2 linked regions of the Callithrix jacchus genome follow. The protein of the gene in region 1 interacts with the protein of each later gene in a biochemical or structural test. Links are inferred from orthologs where the notes say so. Each region holds a gene or a part of one and is shown on either strand. Other genes may lie near its edges.

What was found. The genes of interacting proteins can lie anywhere in the genome.
Region 2: the proteins of ITGA2B (region 1) and RNF181 form a complex in vitro, tested with the Homo sapiens proteins (2 studies listed by BioGRID). The link is inferred for Callithrix jacchus from reciprocal best matches to the Homo sapiens genes ITGA2B and RNF181.

What each region holds. Positions count from the first base shown.
Region 1 is NC_133506.1:71,227,171-71,231,155, forward strand, and holds the start of ITGA2B (integrin alpha-IIb), read right to left. Parts: upstream 2,801-3,985; 5' UTR 2,656-2,800; coding exon 2,267-2,655; intron 1-2,266. UniProt on the Homo sapiens protein: Integrin alpha-IIb/beta-3 is a receptor for fibronectin, fibrinogen, plasminogen, prothrombin, thrombospondin and vitronectin. It recognizes the sequence R-G-D in a wide array of ligands.
Region 2 is NC_133515.1:27,429,392-27,433,599, forward strand, and holds RNF181 (E3 ubiquitin-protein ligase RNF181), read right to left. Parts: upstream 2,801-4,208; 5' UTR 2,762-2,800; coding exon 2,676-2,761; intron 2,030-2,675; coding exon 1,899-2,029; intron 1,728-1,898; coding exon 1,618-1,727; intron 1,447-1,617; coding exon 1,372-1,446; intron 1,105-1,371; coding exon 1,045-1,104; 3' UTR 276-1,044; downstream 1-275.

The sequences.
Region 1 (3,985 bases):
CAATTCACCTGCCTCAGCCTCCTGAGTAGCTGGGACTACAGGCACGCGCCACCATGCCCAGCTAATTTTTTGTATTTTTAGTAGAGACGGGGTTTCACCATGTTGACCAGGATGGTCTCGATCTGTTGACCTCGTGATCCACCCGCCTCGGCCTCCCAAAGTGCTGGGATTACAGGCTTGAGCCACCATGCCCGGCCTCAATGTTATAATTTTTAAAAATAATTTTGTCGTTTTGTTTTGAGACAGGGTCTCATTCTGTTGCCCAGCTGGAGTGCAGTAGCATGATCATGGCTCACTGTGGCCTTGACTTTCAGGACGCAAGCGATCCTTTCCCCTCAGCCACCCGAGTAGCTGGGACTGCAGGTCTGTAACACCATGCTTGGCTAATTAAAAACAATATTTTTGTAGGCTGGGCACGGTGGCTCACGCCCGTAATCCTAGCACTTTGGGAGGCCAACGTGGGCAGATCACTTGAGGCCAGCAGTTCAAGACCAGCCTGGCCAACATGGTGAAACCCTGTCTCTGCTAAAAATATTTTTAAAATTAGCCTGGCATGCTAGAGACTTTATGGCAGGATGTTAAAAAAAAGAAAAGGAAAAAAAAAAAAAACAAAATTAGCCTGGCATAGTGGTGCATCCCTGGAGCCCCAGCCACTCAGGAGACTGAGGCAGGAGAACAGCAAGACTCTGTCTCAAAAAATAAATACATATATATATATATGTGTGTGTGTGTGTGTGTGTGTGTGTGTGTGTGTATATATATATATATATTTAGAAAAGAGGTCTCACTATGTCACCCAGGCTGGTCTTGAACTCCTGAGCTGAAGTGATCCTCCTACCTTGCTCTCCTAACGTGTTGGGATTACAGGTGTGAGCCTCTGTGCCTGGCCTATGATATATGTTTTAGCCTGCAGGATGTTTAAGTAGTGTCAATGGGATCACTACTTACAGGAGGGGAAAGAAGCAGGAGTGGGCACAGGAAGAAGTTGAGCTGATTCAGGCCCAATGACAATATTTGCCAACACCCCACAAGCTCTGGAGCTAGAATGATGCTTCAGAATTGTTAGAGTTGGCTGGGCATGGTGGCTCATGCCTGTCGTCCCAGCACTTTGGGAGGCCAAGGTGGGCGGATCACCTGAGGTCAGGAGTTTGAGACCAGCCTGACCAACAGGATGAAACCCATCTCTACTAAAAATATAAAAATTAGCCAGTCATGGTGGCACATGCCTGTAATCCTAGCTACTCAGGAGGCTAAGACAGGAGAATTGCCTGAATCCGGGAGGTGGAGGTTGCAGCGAGCTGAGATTGAGTCATTGCACTCCAGCCTGGGCAACAAGAGCAAAACTATGTCTCAAAAAAAAAAAAAGAGAGAAAAAAGAAAACATGAAAAAAAATAATAAGAATAAAGAAAAAGGACTGGAAAATATAAGTAGATAATAAACCATTGAACGAGGAGAGATTTAAAAAGTAATTTCCTATTTATTACAGAAGGAGCAGAATTGAAAAAGAAAAGAATCGTCAGAGTTGATGAAAGAGGGCTGGACCCTTATCAAACACCTCTCCCACCCCCGCCTCCACCCTCCCCACTCGCCCACTTCGAATTGATCAGTCACTGTATGTGGGCCAACTTGGGAGCGGACTTTGAGGGAATGGGCTCTATTCAGCAGAGGAAATCTAAGTGGCTGACACTTGAAGACTATCTGCCATTGCCACCCCATGAAGCTGGGCACAGTGTCTTCTACAGTAGCTCAGGATACATGCTGTGAAGAGGAGGGGCCAAGACTCTAATCTTGGCACTCTTGATTCTGAAGCCTGATCAATACTAACCATTAATGACCAATTGCTTCTTTTCAAATACCTATAACCTTGATGGAGATGAGGGAAATGGAATAGAAAAGCAAGGTGGGGCAGGGCAGACAACTTTAGTTCTGCAAATTAATTTAGGACGTGTGCTCCTTTCTGCATTTCAAGGTGCTGAAGGTGGAGTGGTTCATAGAACTGACCCTTGGGGGGGAAAATAAGGCATCTTGCCTTCCCTTTGTTCTTGCTGTAGTTTCAGTGCCCATTGCCCCACCTGTGTTCCGCCCTTACACCTTCACCTGAGCCAGTCCCCTTGACCCCATCATTCTTGACAAGAAATCAACCTGAATAGGCCCCAGAAGTCACCTGGCTCAACTGCTATCACAAATGGGAAACTTGGAGACCCAGCAGAAGTGACGAGAGGGGTCCTGCTCTATCCCAATACCCGAACTGCCCTCACAGCTCACCTCCCATGGCTGTCCTTGTGGAAGTCCAGTGAAAATCCAAAGTGGCTGCCATTGGGGCCTGCATAGTAGGTGAGCTGCACTGGGTCCAGGTTCAAGGCCCAGGCTGGAGGGGAAGCACAAGGCCCCAAGAGCAGCAGCACCCATTCTAGAAGCCAAAGGGCTTGCAGTGGACACAAAGCCATCTTCCTTCTTCCACAACCTCCCAGGCAGGAATGGGCCAGCTCCTCCTTCTTCCCTTCAGATTCCTCCACAGGAAGTCTTTTCTTATCAAACTGGAAACTGAAGTAACTTGCTGAGCAGTGGGCAGAGTAAAGGGTTGTAGCCCCTGGACTCATGGTCGCTAGGATCGCCAGGAAGTGGGTGAGGCCACCCAGAGTGTGGGTGTTCATGGCTGAAAGTCATGACTCCTCCTTTTTCCTGAGACTAGTTTATTACCAAGTCCTGTTGGTTCTGTCTCTCAATGATGTCTCTTGAGTCTTTACCCCATCTCTACTACCACCATGCTAGTCCAAGACATCGTCACTTTCTGCTTGGGATAGCATGACTGTGAACTAGTCTGTACCTGTCTAGAATAGCCTGCTAGGTTCTAATCTCTTCCCTTCCCCCATCTGGCTATACAGCTGTGGTGCTTTGTGACTTGACCAGAGGTTGGGGAAGGAGAAGGAAACTGCTGTCCCTGATAAAACCTGAGGCTGCTTTATCTTTTTAGATATGGCATTTACCCACTTCCTCCTTCTAGGACCTTGGGCAGCCTCAACCAGCCATACTGGCGCAGTAGCTTCCTCACTCCTCCTCCATCTTGAGCCAAACTTTAATGTGGTCACAGCAGTGCAGTCAGTGCTGGGGACAGGGTGGTGAGTGGACCTTGGTGGAGGTGGCAGGAGATTGGGGATAAAGTGGAGTCATTCCAGGGAATTTTGGCTCACAAGCTCTGAGATTATGCGTTAGCTGTTCAGTAGGCCCTCACTCCTTTTTGGGTGACGGAGTTCTTTTCTAACCGTTAAGACTTGATTCTGGTTGGGTTCTTTGCCTAAGGGAGCCTTTCCCAACTCCTCAGGCTGGCCACGGGGGCTAACACACTTAGGCACAGCATTGAGCCACTGTTTACACATGGTCTGTTCACAGGATTGAGTCCCTTGAGAGCAAGGCTCCTTGCTACAGCCCTAGAGACTACCCAAGAGTCCAACGTGTCGTACGTATGTTGCTTAAAGACTGAATAGAAACGCACTAAGGATGGAAGATGCAAACATAGGGTGACAAAGTGAAGAGATGAGTTTTGAGCAGAAAGGCAAAGTCATTTTCTGTGGTTAAGCGGAAAGAGGAGGAGTGCCAAGTCTTACTGGCACTCATGCCTTCCCAAAAAAGCAGGTTCTCAGGAAGATTTAAGGTCTGCTAGGGGTAAGGGACCATAGCCACATTTTCCTTTTGATTTCTATTTTCTGACCAAACTTAACTATTGCCGTATCCTGCTCAACCAACCTGCGCCATTTTGAAGTCTCCTCATACTCACTGCCTCAGCATAGAGCTAAGAATCTTAACCTTTTTATAGGACAGGAAGCTAAAACTCTGAACTTTGGTCTGGGCCTTTTTTTTTTTTGAGACGGAGTTTCGCTCTCGTTACCCAGGCTGGAGTGCAATGGCGCAATCTTGGCTCACCGCTACCTCCACCTCCTGGGTTCAGGCAATTCTCCTGCCTCAGCCTCCCGAGTAGCTGGGATT
Region 2 (4,208 bases), on another chromosome or scaffold:
TGGTGTCGTTTTGTTTTTAAAGGTCACCTGTCCTCACTCACCCAGCCAGCCCTTCAGGTGCCTTCTACTCCCAGTGCCAGAGCCAGACCACTGGGGTTTCCTGCTGCAGGAATTGGGGGCTGGGAACAGCAGTGGGGATAGAAGTCTGGTGGAGGTGGAGCGGGTACGCCTTAGCCTATGGAAAGGCCCATTTCTGGGCCCATTGAGCTGCACTGGGATTCTTCACTCTGCCCCTCACTTCCTTTAGGGCAAATAACACAGCAGAACCACGTGGGTATTTTAGTACTTTTTTTTATATTAAAAGAATTCTAATTTGCATGTTTGTAGTCTGTTCTGGAGAGTCGGGAAAGGGGGGGACCTGATCTGGGATGACTTTCCATAAGCCAAGGATGAGAGAAAGCCCTTGCCCCGCAGGAGAGTGCTGAGCACACTTTGCTGCCAGAAACAAAGGATGGCAGGTACCATTCAAATACCCGTTGAAGGGCTTGAAACCATTCTGGGCCTCTAAACAATCTAAAGAACTGACTTGATCTAATAATCTCACCCATCCCCCACTCAGAGTCTGGTTTGAACTTTGATTCCTCAGTAAGAGGCATGGGGTGGAAGGTGGGGGTAGTACAGAGAGCAACTTTAAAATATTAAAAGCAGCTTTCTCAATGGAGAAAAAGAAAACCTCTGGGATTTCAAAGTGAACTAGAAATTGCAATGGGAGGAGGCTGCAGGCTAGTTTATCAGCTTTAAGTAATTAACTGGGTGCCAGACCCTGACACATTCTGCCTTCCAAACATGAACACATAGGCCGGAGCCCTGGCTGGTGCAGTAATCCACTGCCATGAGTCTAGATGGGCCAGCAGGGAGGGAAACCACAGCCTGCTTCTGCGGTTTAGGACCACCTTCCCCAATAGCAGTAGAGACCTGAAGGAGGATGCAGAGCCCCTGACCAGGTCTGTGATCAGTACAGCCTCAGGGTGAGTACAGAAACCTTTAATGAGGATTCAAGGTTTTAAGGAAGATGCAGAGGGCCGGCGCTCAGCCCCAGCCTCCTCACGTGTACATGGCTCCATGGAGGTTCTCCAGTCGGTGCTGCTGCTGCTGTTTTCGAGCCTGAAGGAAAGAGGGCACACTGGGCAGGGGCCAAAACTGAAGGCCTGTGGGTGAGGGGATGGGCAACTATCATGGGGCTGGCTCTGTTTTCAGGCCTCTGGCATCTGCATTGCTGAGGCTCTTACCACAAACCAAAGTCACTAAGAAGCCAGCCAGAGTCAGGCCTGCTGAGGCCTAGTCCAGTCCTGCTGAGGTGGAAAATGATGGCAGCAAGGACAGGACTGAGGGAGCCTAGTAAGACCCCTCCACTTAACCATCAGCCCCTACCTTATCTCGTCTGTGCTCTTCATAGGTGTCATCATCAGTGGGCAGCTCATGGCGGCACAAGGGACAGGAATTTGTCTGAGAAAAATAGAGTAGTGTCTAGCCTTTGTCTGATCTTCATAAGCTGATAACCACCCTCCCCTGCTCCCAAGTGCCACCCTTCTTTGATCCCCCAACAGTCCATGAACAGAAAGAAGCTTGAGTACTGGGCCCAGAGCAGAGTGACAGCTGGAAGAAGAGAAGCAGTACCTTGCTTAGCCAGGGCAGAATGCAGCTGGAATGGAAAAGGTGATGGCAAGGCATCTCAATGGCAGTCTCCTCCTCCTCAAATTCCAAAAGACACACGGGGCACTTGAGCTCTTTGGGAAGGAGTGCTGATCAGGAGAGATGCTACAGTCCCTGCCTCCCAAGCTCCCACTCCTGAAGGACACTTGCCCCACCTGGCCTGGAAAACTTAAGTACCAGACCACAGTCTGACTTGGGGAAGGGGTGGGTCTGGCCCAAATAGCAGAAAATATTAGTGTCCTTACCAGCCTGAGAGCCTCTGATGACCGTCCTGGGGAGGTTCTCAACCACAGTCTTGGCAGCTGGTGGAGGCAGGTGGTGGTCCCAATCTACTACCAACCCCAAGTCTTCAAAGTCCATCCTATTGAAAAGTGACCTGGGGAAGAGGAGGTAAAGTCAGAACAAAGGAAAACTATGCTTTCTCTTTGCCACAGTAATCCACTGGACAGTAACCGATAAACACCCTGCCCAGCTAGTAGGAATAAGAGCTACCGTTAGTAGTTAGTAGATGCTCACTAGATAAAAAGCACGATGGGAAATAGTTTATACAGCTGCTACCAGACCGCCGCAGCACGTAAAGTTTTTATTTCCATTTTACACATGAGGCAACAGGCTCAGAGAAGTTACTCAGGCCACGCAGAATAACCTTGTGGAGCCAGATTCCAAGTCCGCAGTGCCTGCTGTTCCGGATGAATATACCCACTCACAGCACATGGCCCCAACCCCGCCCCCATGCCTCACCTTCTCCGGGACCCCCCAGAGCCTGCTGTCCTTCCACCCCCAAGTCCACCACACTCCAGCTCGTCTTTCCCTCAATTCCCTTGCCCAGGCCCGCCCAACGGACGGCGCAAATTATCGAGATGCTCATTCCCACACCCCTCAATCTCACCGCCCGGACTAACACTGCAGATTACTCATCCGTCCTCCCCAGAATCAGCTGCCCCTGGTAATCCGCCTTCTTCAGCCAGCCCCAGCCCAGAAACCTGCTAACTGGACTCCATCCCCAAGCCCCCCGCACCCACCTTGCGAGCTCCAGCAGCATGTTGGTTCGAGTCTCCTGCTCGGGGTCTAACGGCTCACAGTCGTGTTCGTCGAAATAGGACGCCATGGCTGCCCAGCCGTCTGACACAGCTCTCGGACCCGGCTCGATCGCGGCCTAGCGGCGCTGGCCAATAAACTGACGAGCTGAGAGAGGCTGGCCAATCAGAGTATCCGAGGGATGGGCATAGTGGCTCGTTAATGCGCACGGAAAGCGGAAGTACTAATTCAGCCGCCTCTCATTGGCTTAAATAGATCAGGTGACCAGAGACTAAGGCTAATGACAGAGATCCGGGCTGGTGAGGAAATTTTTGTTTTGGAATCGGAGCCAAGACTGAATTCCCGGGAATTTCCGGCGTGGTCGCATCCAAATGTCTGGTCTGTAAGGGTCGTCAGTCTGCCCTGAGGCTCAGATGGCTTTAACAGTGCAGATGCTAGAGACCTCTCAGAGAGAAGGCAGCGCTGGCCCAGGGGTTCAGGTTCCTGCGGGCGTTGGGCCAGGGCACTTCTCGATGCGCTGTCCCGGTCCCCACCGGATGATTCTGCCCCGCGGCGCTCTAGCTGGTTCAGGAGTTTGCGTTTGATTCCAACCCAACCCCCGAAAAAAAAAATTCCTGCGCGTTTTTTATGTGTTAGGCGTAATAATAAAGGGTGGGGCAAGCCTCCCCAACCGAGAGCGAGAGGCCCCTCTGCCGGAGAGCTCGGGCCTCAACCAGCTCACGGGATTGTTAACTTCAGTCCGTTGCTGTCCCTAGCTTCTGTAAAACTAGTGGCTTGTACTAACACCTTTTCATTCCTGCCTACACATGAATCCCCTGAGGAAAGAATGGGTGCGGAGGATACCTACGAAGATTCCTATTTAACTGATCTGTGGTGGGGCCTGGGCAACGACATTTGTATAAATTCTACAGGTGAAGCAGGTTTAAGAACCACTGCACTGAACGATTTGGATGATAGGTACTATTTAGCATTTAGAACTGTTAGACTGACGAATGTTTTACACACCGATCATCCCCTCAGTAGTCGCAGGAGCTAAGCATCATTATGCCCTTTTTACCTCAGAAGTGGCTTGCCCAAATTTGCAGTCTTTAAGTGGTGCTGCAGACCAACTGCAGGGCCAAGTGCTTTCCTCCATCTTTCCCAACAGAGGTGACTCACGCCTGTAATCCCGGCACTTTGTGAGGTCAGGATTTCGAGACCAGCCTAGCCAACACAGTGAAACCCCGTCTCTACTAAAAATACAAAAAAAAAAAAAAAAAAAAAAAAAAGCCAGGTGTGGTGGCGGCGCCTGTAATCCCAGTTCCTGGAGAGGCTGAGGCAGGAGAATCGCTAGAACCTGGGAGGCAGAGGTTGCAGTGAGCCAAGATCGCACCATTGCGCTCCAGCTTGGGAGACAGAGCGAGACTCCGTCTCAAAAAAAGAAAAAGAAAAAAAAAAAGAGGAAGATGGTAATGAGCTCAGTGGAACTAACTCCCTCTGTAAAGGGTAAGCTCCACACAATTCACACTTATTCTGGT